Linked DNA regions of Arabidopsis thaliana. The protein of the gene in region 2 interacts with the protein of the main gene of each other region in a pairwise test. Each region holds a gene or a part of one and is shown on either strand. Other genes may lie near its edges. The genes, in order: LBD27, AT5G01160 and NAC063.

What was found.
Region 1: the proteins of AT5G01160 (region 2) and LBD27 interact in a two-hybrid assay, tested with the Arabidopsis thaliana proteins (one large-scale study listed by BioGRID).
Region 3: the proteins of AT5G01160 (region 2) and NAC063 interact in a two-hybrid assay, tested with the Arabidopsis thaliana proteins (one large-scale study listed by BioGRID).

What each region holds. Positions count from the first base shown.
Region 1 is NC_003074.8:17,659,211-17,662,966, forward strand, and holds LBD27 (LOB domain-containing protein 27), read right to left. Parts: upstream 2,145-3,756; 5' UTR 1,798-2,144; coding exon 811-1,797; 3' UTR 803-810; intron 709-802; 3' UTR 470-708; downstream 1-469.
Region 2 is NC_003076.8:51,948-55,703, reverse strand, and holds the start of AT5G01160 (RING/U-box superfamily protein), read right to left. Parts: upstream 1,849-3,756; 5' UTR 1,508-1,848; exon of another isoform or gene 1,430-1,507; 5' UTR 1,425-1,429; coding exon 1,170-1,424; intron 1,048-1,169; coding exon 989-1,047; intron 746-988; coding exon 1-745. Other genes in the region: AT5G01150 (hypothetical protein (DUF674)), read right to left, coding at 2,055-2,192, 2,265-2,996, 3,081-3,716. UniProt on the Arabidopsis thaliana protein: Probable E3 ubiquitin-protein ligase which is a subunit of the N6-methyltransferase complex, a multiprotein complex that mediates N6-methyladenosine (m6A) methylation at the 5'-[AG]GAC-3' consensus sites of some mRNAs.
Region 3 is NC_003074.8:20,463,158-20,466,913, reverse strand, and holds NAC063 (NAC domain containing protein 63), read right to left. Parts: upstream 1,820-3,756; 5' UTR 1,700-1,819; coding exon 1,522-1,699; intron 1,424-1,521; coding exon 1,125-1,423; intron 1,040-1,124; coding exon 674-1,039; 3' UTR 495-673; downstream 1-494. Other genes in the region: SAP130a (Cleavage and polyadenylation specificity factor (CPSF) A subunit protein), read right to left, coding at 2,553-2,690, 2,778-3,269, 3,367-3,756.

The DNA.
Region 1 (3,756 bases), on a different chromosome or scaffold from region 2:
AATTTTAAGCTGAAGGCTGAAGCCATTCGTAGGGCTGCTCTAACCATCTCTTTGGAATCAGATTCGAGGAATACAATCACATGCTTGTAGCCTATATTTCCAAAACTTAGTGTAGTCCTATGAACATGGCTTCAGCTTCTAGGGAGCATGATACTTTAGGTATTAGTTCGGGATCCAACATCTAACCTACTAACACACACAGTTTCTTGATTATTTCCTCAAGGTTCAACACAAGATCAACATTACATTTTTGAGTTTCATAAATAAGTGGAAGTCTAGTATAATTACCTGAGTAATGTGAGTATCCTCGGGAGCTAATGCATCATTAACATTTGTCTTGTGTCTCTCTTCTTCACTCAGCCATGTTAGATTTTAGCAGAGAAGCGTCCCTTGAATAACAAGTTAAAAACCCAAGAAAAATAAAGCAAATAGAGTTACGTTGCACTAATATTCAAGTTCATTAGAGACTCCAAAAAGATATATTATTAAAATTAGAGAAACTCTGAATTCATAACCTTTAAGTCTCTGACTAAAAGATAATAATAAAATGTCAACAAAAGTATAACAAAATTTCGAGAGCATAATTAGGGATCACGAATTGAGAAATCAATTCAATTATTCACACTGGTTAGACTGAAACAAGTAGCTGCACTTCTCAATTCATTCTCTCCAATTTCATCAATCTGTTCCTTCAACGATCCACCAGAGCTACAACCACCAATATACTCCAATTCAATCACCATATCTACAGAAGAAGAAGAAAATACATATTTCATAGTTTTACAAAGGAAAAAACCCCTACCTTGAGGCCTACGCTTCTTTAGAATCCCCAAATGATTGCCTATCGTCAATGATATCAAGAAACTGATGGAGTTCATCGTATTCATGATCAGCTTCTTCTTCTTCCACTCGCTGATGATTTGATACCATTTGCAGATTTACGAGCTGTGATTGTATTGCCATTACACCGTTACTCTTCATCTCATGACAGCTCTCGTTTTGGTTGCTGTATCCTCCTCCATTGTTGTTGTTATACAGAAATCGATTCTGATCACCCCAAACATTGTTATTGTTGGTCAGAATCTCCTTGCCCGAATCTGTATTATAAGCAGGAGGACTATAGCCATTGTTGTTAACCTCACTGCAGCTATAAGTGTAAGACATTTGTGGCTGTTGTGTTTCGGAAACTGGTAATAATGAACTAAAGAATGGTGTAACGACATTGCTCTGATTATTGTTAACGTTAAGTCCCATACCCAAGTCAAGCTGCTGCGATGTAACATCTTCTTGCTGCTTATTATGATCACTACCAAGCTCATGAATCATCTGATTATGATTATGGTTTTGGTTTTGATTTTGACCGTTTTGTGGTTGAGAGCGATATAGTTGTAATTGAGAATTGACAGCTTTGAGTTCTTCTTCAGCAAACCAGATCATGTATTGAAGTTGTTGCGTGACGCCGAGGCAACCGTGGACAGGAGAACGGTCACGGACATAAGACTGGAAGATGATTGATTTCATTGCTTCTGGTTTCTGAGTTTCGTCTAGTTTTTCGAGGATCTTGACGATACTTCTTACGCCGAATAGCCTGTGAACGTTTTGGAAAAGTTTCGGTTGTTCGGCTGGGAAGTAAGGCGCGAGGGGGCAGTCCGCGGCGCAGCGTCTACGTTGGTACTTGCACGCGGCACAAGCCCCACTCGTGCCGCCTTTAAGAGTCATGTAAACTATAAGAGCGATCAAGAGAAGATCTAAAAGCCTCTCCTGTAACCCTTTGTGGATGTGTTTTGTATTGCTCATTCGATGGGAACAGAACAAGAGACTCTGGAGAATTGAGAAATGAAAATGAGGATTTTGAAAATGAGAGATGTGTGCGTTAGTGTGTCTGTGTGTTAATGGTTTTTGGGAAATGAGAGAAGGGAAGAAGGAGAAGTAGTCTGGTATATAAGCCGGATATTTCTCTAGTAAAGAAGACTAAGTAAAATACAGATTATAAGATTGATTAAAAAAAACGTTGTTTGAGTATCTTCAGGGGAGATTCTTGTTTTTGAGTTTGTTTTTGTTTACTAATAATAGTTGCTTTGTTTTTACTTGATATAACAGTAAATATATCTTACTTGTTTATTTTTTGAGTTTTGGACTTGATCAAGTTTTTTTGAATTTTGTACTTGATCATCTTGATATAAACAATTTTGGGACCAAGTTATTTAGGTTTTAAATTGGATTGAGTAACAAAATAATTATTATGTTCAGTCTTATCTTAATTGAACTACTAAACATCTAAAGTTATATTGAATTGATTTTATTGAAAATTACAAGATTATTGAAAATCTTGTAAAATCTCCCTGGATAAGAAGACTTTACAAAATTTTGGAAAAACTAATCATAGAAATTATACAAAACTCTCTAGTAATCATTTAAAATCTTTAATTTATCTACTTTCAATATATTTTTAAAGTCATTAAAACTCTTTTTATAATCTTGTAAAATCTCCCTGAATATAATTATAAACTTTGATTTGTGATTTCTCCAAAATTATAACATATCACCAAAATATTGTATACTATTCTTCCATCTTCTATAGAAGGTATCTCCACTAAAGTGAAAATCACACGCATAAACACAAAAACTATGGTATTCGTAAGTAAAGTTACATGAACAGGGAACCATCCATGAAGAACTTGAAGTTTTATTTTCAAATATTTTGTTGGATATTTACTTTTCATGTGTTAGATTAAACTGCTTTGTTCTAAAAGTTGTTTGTGTGTTGATTTTCACATAGATTACCGGAGCACATGTGGAACTTGAGCCATTAGAATATATATATTGTCATCACTGTTAATAAGATTTCTGCATCTGTTCGTATCATTGGCTTTTGTTTATATCCAAAGTCATGATTCACAATCTCTCTCTTTTTGTGATACTTTTCATGATTTTAATTTGTGAAGAAAAGAGTATAAAATCATAATCCAATAACACAATATTTTAAATCATTAACAATCATGAAAACTGTTTAAGTTGAATAACACAAAATTTGTAATGACTGTATTAAAATATGAATCAAATAACTCCAGATTTACAAAGACTTTAAGTTACTTTTTACAAATCAAAATCTAACAACACCAAACTTTAACAGAGTCTTATAAAATTTTAATTGAATAACAAAAAAAATTTCATGACATTTCAAGTCACTAAAAATCCATATAAATCACAAACAATAACAACCCCTAAAAAGATTTTGGAAAAACTAATCATAGAAATTATGCAAAACTCTCTAGTAATCATTGAAAATCTTTAATTTATCTACTTTCAATATATTTTTAAAGTCATTAAGTGTGTGATTGGTTCATCTGTAACTGTAGATTTTTGCTGTAGAATTTTTGTTGTATGTGTGATGACTGTAGCCATAGATTTTATTGCTGTAGAAATTAGGCTGTAGATTTTATTAATTTAATATTATTACTTGAAGAAATTGGTTGTAGAAATAAGATCATGGTTGTCTGTATATTTAAACAAAAAAATATTATTGGTAAATTGTACTTATGTGTTATATAATAGAATTCACAAATATCAATTTAATATATATATATAAACAATGTAAGTTATATATATGTCATAAAGTAGATATTTACCTATTATTTATATCCATAAAACTAAATTTAATATATATATATATATATGAAAACTATAGTAATGTTTTTTAAAAAAATGAGAAAAAAGTGAAAAAAAGAGAAAGAAGGTATAGACCTTCTAAAGACC
Region 2 (3,756 bases):
GTTCTCTTGTGGCCACCCAAAACTTTGACCGTCTCTACCCCGGTTAACCTGCTGGGTCGTGTGAGGCGGTGCCATTCCGGGATTCCATGATGGAGGAGGATACGATCCTTGGAAATTCAGATTCGTCATTGGTGAAGGCGGGGGATACCCGAGCAATGAACTTTGTTCTGATCCGCCGCTCTCTGTTCTTGTCATCTCGTACTGAGCACCGTTAAAGAATTGTTGAGATGATCCACTCTCTGTTGTTGGATACGAAGGAAAACCAAACTGCTGTGGTAAACCCGGGTTTTGATTCATTGGAACGGGCAAGCTGGGCGGTTGCATAAGATTCATAGGCTGGGGGTAGTCTGGGAACCGGATTCCTGGTTTAGGACTAGCGGTTTCGAATCCAGGAGGGCGAGAGTTATCGCTATCTGGAGGGTAATTCTGGACTTGACTAAATCCAGACTGTGACTTTGCAAATGACGCCGACCTGTTTAGTTCACGGGATTGTTGCAGCTGGGATCTTAAAGGAGCTCGCAAGGTGGATTCTGAAGCTGAAGACTGCTGCATTGTGCTCTGAACATCTGACTGGTTACCATCTTCTTTCTCTGCATCGGCTTGTAATAGGCTTCCATGGAGGTCATGGACATGGGCTTCAAAGTCAAGTTTCTTCAGGAAAGACCTAAGACAATGAGGAGCTGCACAGATGAAGATCCCTTCCATCATCTTGATTGTTTGAATCTTCTGAATCCGCTCATCACATCTGTGCAGTAATCACACACACAAGAGACAACAAGATTTCAGTCTGATAATCGCTACGCCTAGTAAATCTTAAAATGTCTCTGTAGATTACTAAACAATCTAGAATATCTCTATCAAAGCTTCTAATGAAATTCGAAGCCTAGTTCAAACTATGATAATCCTGCGTCTCTGTAGATTACCAAACAATCTAAAGTATCTCTATCAAAGCTTCTAATGAAATTCGATGAGAGTTAAAGATGGTTACAGATAGCAGATGGAATCACTGCGAGCACATTCAAGGCAAAAGGCATGATCACAAGGAATCTGCAAAACCAAAACAAAACAAAAAAAGTTTCAATCACATATAGAAGAAGAGCCCCCTTAAAAAAACTCTTTAAGGCAAATCAATATAGCCATAAACCAATGAAGGAAGCGAAGTTTTTTACCAGACGACCATAGATTGCAATCGGAAAATCGCAACGAACGCAGAAGTGAACTCTCTCGCCTAGCTGACGGCGAGAACGACGACCGACGGGCTTGATTACGGTGGTGGGAGTCACGGAACCGATTCCTTTCGCAACAGGAAGATCGGCGAGGACGAGATGGTCGGGACAGGCTACAGTAACCGTCTCCGTCGGAGAAGGCCTCGCACCATTTCCAGTTTCCGTCGGGGAATCCCTCCGAAGACGAATTTGAAGCATTGTCGCTGTAAAAGTTACATGAACGGAACCCTAAGAAATACAAATCAAAAGAAAGAATAGGAATCAAAAGCTTCTCTAGTTACCAAGTTAAATCGGAGATTGAGATTTCAGATCTCTCTCTCTACTTCAGTTCTTCTCAAGAATCACGCCGGAGCCGAAAACGGCGAAGCAAATTTTGTTTTTGTGGGCAACGGAGGAGAATAGAAGCCTTCAAGTCTTCTGGCTGAGAAAGAGGGTTTCCATTAATTAACTTCAAGTCTTATTTTTTTCTGATCAACACTTCATATGTCTTCAACATTCCCAATTACTATATACCAACTGGATCTTATTATAAACTTTTGTATATGGATGCATTTTTTTTGGTAATGGTTGTATATTTCAGTCTTATCGTACTAGGAAATTCCAGATTTTAGGCTTGTTGCTTTATAAACTCAAAAAGATGTGCAAGTTTTTGCCTGCATTTAAAAAACCCTATTAAGATGAATTTCCATAAAACAATAATTTGATTAGTCTTACAAAGAAAGATAAGGCTTGGAAGAAAACATGAGGAATGTAATGTAGATTTTGCGGAATTCTAAAAACATAATCAACAATCGACTTAGAGTTCATTCTCACTAGCTTTCTATTTCTTCAAGTCTCTTCCTTCACTTTCTTTGAAACCGTGTCCCATAAATCAGTCTCCTCCTTCAGTTTCTTAGCAATCAAATTCCATAATGTCGTGCTCAAAGCAGAGGATGTCACCAAGGAAGCTCTCAACAAATCCAAAGCCTAATTCAAAATCAAGTGTCAGTCAAGTTCCTTTCAAGAATACAGGATCAAAAAGGGTATACAGAAACATACCTCTGCATTGCTGATACTAATTACTTGCACCTCTAGATCGTCTGCGTGACTCTGCAACTTCTTTAGTAAACAAACTGTGGAGCAGGAGTTCATAGATGTAATGGTCAGATCATCTAATACAGTACACTTTGTCGCTTTCTTCAAGAACCCCTGAGCAGACTTATCGCTGCCACGGGATTTGGGATCCTTCAAATCCACCCGAACGATTCTGTCTTTGCGGTAATAAGTAGTTCGATTACCGTTTGTAGTCAAACCATAGTTCATTTGCCTGTAATCGTAGAGCCTGTAACGGTAGTACACCGGAGGTTGTTGAGTGATAATACCAGGCAGTTGCATCTGGAAATTATAGAAAGACGGAAGTGCGCATGTGGAAGTTGACATTTGAGTCTCCTCATTTAAGTCCCTGAAGGTTCTACACATGTTTCCTATGCAACCTAAGGAGATACTGCTGCCAGAGATTTCCCATGCAGATTCAAGCGGGACAGCAATAAAAGAGAAAAGAAGCTCAACAAATTCCTCTCCGCATTCAACAAATAAAATCTTCATGTCCTGCTTCCTCACAAATGCTTTCAAAGTTACTACCTTTTCAGGTTCTGCTTCATCTTCTTTTTTCTCCAAACATGGACTTTGCGATTTGTAAAACTTCGTCGCACCTTGTGTAATCTTCTTGTTCAAGAAAATGTCCTTTAAGGGAGCATTTGAGGAGAATATACATCCCAGCAGAGTCAGTACCTAGTCCAAGATTCAGATATAGTAAGAGAGAACTAATAAAGTAATGATAACACAAACGCTTGAAGAATAAACTAACTAACATACCTCTTTCACACCAATATCAAGAAGCCTTTCACCGAGCTTACCAACATCAGCACAACCTAAGGATTTGAGCTTATTCAAGACAAGTTCAGTGGACTTGACTGACACTTCCAAGTCATCGGTTAAGACGAATGAACACCTACCGCTGACAAATACTCCATTATCATCATCTTGAAACCGGCCTAAATCTTGTTCCTCGTTTTCTAACTGAATCTCCTCGTTCATAAATTTTCCGCAACGACATTTAGAGGTGCTGAAATTACTGTACAAGCCGCAGTAACTTGAGCACTTAAAACACTTGATGTCCTCAGTAGGGTTTATGTTGAGCTTAAGCCTTTTGCACTGGAGGTCTTTCACACTCTTCGGATACACAAGCATCTGCTTACAAGCTTCAGTCTCAAAACAATCACTGCCCATGTCCACAACACTTCTATAGAGATTGTTAAAACAGCCCAGAGTTACTGGCTCAGATTTTCGATGATTCTCAAGCAATCTGACAATGGTTCCCATTGGAAGTGTCAGAAGGCTGAAGAGTACATCAACAAAATCCCTACAAGCTTCAGCCAAAACAACCTTGTTTTTCTCTTCATCAACAATAAGTCTCAAAGAAAACTTAGGCTCCTCACTACTTTTAGCCATTAGCGTAATAGATGAAAGAAAGACGAAAGCAAGATAGATG
Region 3 (3,756 bases), on a different chromosome or scaffold from region 2:
CTTCCATATTCAGGATTCCTAGTAGCTATGGTAGTTCTTGATTCGTTCATGAGAAGCATTGAGAATTGTGAAGCAGCAGACAAGTGGGAGCCTCGCCTGTCTCAACAAAAGATCAGGAACTGCAGACGAAGAGATCTGAGTTAATTCAGAGGCTCTTAACACCAGCCATTCTCGTTGAGAGCAAAAACAAAGATTGAGGATGCAGGTGAGCTAAATGTTTTGTTGAAGGACAAAGTAGAGAGTAGAGAAGAAAGAGGTTATAATAGATTTTGTAAAGCTCTTCAATGGTTTGTTAAACAAAACCCCGCTCTTGTGAAAACTGATGTAACAAAGTCCAAATTTACCTTTAAATCTACAACTTTGTTTAGAGTATATTTAGTTAGGCTTTGAAGAAACTTATTTGTTGGTTTTAAGATCTAATGTATTATATAACGAAAATCTTTAACCCACCCACAAATCAAAACACAAATTTTTTATATTTGGGTAATCTGAAACTGGAATACACCGGTGTTTTATATCTATATCTGTATGTGTTAGTTTATAAGTCTAAGACGCTAAGAAAATGTTGGACAAATTGAGTATAAATGTTTTATATCAAGGCATCAAAAGCAATAAAGACAGGGAGAATTATCTCTGGTTTTGGAGAACATTGCCGATAGAGGAAAGAGATCAATTAGCATCCTTTTCCTTGGTCTGGTTGATGCAAATCCAGCTGCTCAACGTCTTCTTCTTTCTTCAGCTTCTCATTATGCGGTTGCTGATTCTCCATATCATGAGGCTGCGGTTGATAAGAATCCAGTGGGCCTGGACAAAACTGCTGCTGTTGATACGCCAAATCATGAGGCTGCGGTTGGCAAGAATCTAGCGGTGCTAGCGGTTGATGATACTCGACATTACAAGGCAGCTGCTCTTCCAATGCTTCCACAGGTGCAACTGAAACAACGGCTTCTCCTTTCTTCTGCTTCTTCTTCTCTTCTCCCACTTCTTTATTCATCTTTGTTGCTTGTGGAGTAAGATAGATCTTGCACAAAGTGTAATCCTAGACGCACAACAAAAACAAGACTCAAAACAGAATCCAAAACTTGAAAACCTAAATAACTTGGGAACCAAGAAACACTTCTTACCTTGTCGTTGTTGTGAGAAGAGTGATCAAGAGAGTATTCTTGCATTAACCAATCAGTTTTGACGCCTTCTGATGGTTTCCCAACGTAGTATGCCAGTGGCCTTTTGTTGCGAACGACACCATCTCCAGCGTTGATCTTTTGGGCAGCCACTGTTGCGTGCCAATATCCTCCGTTAGTGTCGACACGTTTCTGCCTTTTCGCACCATAACCAACTCTCTTTGTTTGGCTTAAACCTTGATCAACTTTGTTCCTCTCCGTTATAATAAACCATTCTTTATCGTTACCCTTCTGGAATTCCTCTGTTTCAAAAATATATATATATAGATATATGTTAATAACTTAATAAACTAAAGAATTCAACTAAGTAAACAATACATATGGACGGAGACAAGTTAACCTGAAAGTGTTTGTGGATTCGACTCGTAGATATTGACGAGATGAATAGGAACATGGAGCAATACGTTCGTGTTGCCGTCCGAGTAAGGTTTCAAGTAACAATGGATGACTTCTTCATCGTTTGGCACAAACTTAAAACCTGGCGGTAATACGTAAGCTATCGTCGACGGAGGAGACATGTTAACAGCTGCCAAAGAAGACAAGAAGGAATCTCTGACTGTGGTTGCGTTTGCGGTTCCGGCCAGGATCTTTCTTTGCGCTTGTTTCTTCCAGGCATCGTCATCAAGTAACTTTGGAGCTTTGACAAAAAGAAAAGTATGTTTCGTAAGAGATATAGTTAGTTTAGTTAGTTATATTGTCTCTTATTTATAAGAATGTAATAAGACGGTGTATATAATGATTTATAAAATTTATCGAATTTGAGATAATATGGGATTCAGATAATATCGGATTTGTTGAAAATCAATTTGTGATTGAGATTTGGAAAAGGAAAAGTTTCATGTTTAGCTAACAAAGTTAACAAAGAGATAAATGTTGATTACAGAAAATGTGAAATAATTCTTTGTTTTTGTATCTTACCAGGTACTTTTTAAGTCTGATGTTGCAGAAGATTCATTTAGCTCACCTGCATCCTCAATCTTTGTTTTTGCTCTCAACGAGAATGGCTGGTGTTAAGAGCCTCTGAATTAACTCAGATCTCTTCGTCTGCAGTTCCTGATCTTTTGTTGAGACAGGCGAGGCTCCCACTTGTCTGCTGCTTCACAATTCTCAATGCTTCTCATGAACGAATCAAGAACTACCATAGCTACTAGGAATCCTGAATATGGAAGAAACCTTACCGGTGCAACTGTTTCATGCTGTTGTAGATTCAAAAGTAAACTTGCAATTAATTCATCAGTTTTCACAAGAGCGGGGTTTTGTTTAACAAACCATTGAAGAGCTTTACAAAATCTATTATAACCTCTTTCTTCTCTACTCTCTACTTTGTCCTTCAACAAAACAATGACTCTCTCTCTCTCTTTTCGTGTGTTATCAAATGATCTTGTTCCTTGCGTCTTCGAGCTTCTTCAGAATCTCCGCAGGTGTTCTATCCAGCTCGTCTGCTATTTTCCTCTGCAAGTCCATTGGGAGTGTCGGGAACTGCTCACACAGATCTCCATCTATCACGTCCTGTTACAAGATGCAAAAAGTGTCAAATTCAAAATCAAGGGACTTCTTTTGATTTGGAGGAAAAGCAAATGGGTTTTGGTTTATTACCTTGACCGGAAAATATGCAGATCTGTAAGCCATGTGGTCTCTCCCGCAGAGAGGAGGATACTCCTGCCTCATGTGCATCTCCAGATGAGAGAAGAAATCCACATCATCACGGGATGTGAAAGCATGTAATGCCCCTATGCTACCCATCACTGTTCCATACATTATCGATTCCGATCCACCTGGGATCATCGAAGCTTTCTGCAAGCACGTCACAACGTCCCCAACATGGAACTGTACTATCTCATCCACTTTGTTCGGTGCTCCATTCAGCTTTCCTTGCTCCCACTTGATCTTCCCGCCAGTCGGGTCTTCTTCTATCTCCTCCGACAGATCCTGAGGCAACCGCACAAAATACACATTCCCAAACTTATCTGCACCTGCCATGGTATCGAAATCCACATGGTGCGATGCTGTCAGCCACCTCGGCACGCAGTCATCCGCAAATATGTACAGCTGATTCTCGTCGCGCCTGTACTTGCAGTAATGGAAAGACTGCAAAACGATAATGAAAAGGCTACATGAGATATTTCTATAAAACAAAGCACACAGTAGTAAGTAAAATATATAGGAAAAAGGATCTACCACTCACCTCCTGAATGTCACCAACGTATATACGGTCACGGTAAGTTTGGATAGAGATAATGGTGTTTGGAAAGAGCTTGTTTTCACATTTCCTAAGCAGTCTCTTTTTCCCCAAATCATACAATCTGAGGACAGGTCCGATCCCTGCCAGCAGTCTTCCTTGGAACTGGCACAGAGCAAGAGGAACACCTTCTACTTGCGTCTTATGAAGAAGCTCAAGAGATTTCCCATCCTCCACAAACCTATAAATATGTATGAACCCAGCCACTAGATTCTTCTTGGGCCAGAACTGCATCCCTTTGACCGTACCAACAGCCAACAGTGTACCATACTCTTTATCATGGAAATTCACCGTACAGACACTGTATGCAGCTTCGTTGTCCTGAAGTTCCAGGAG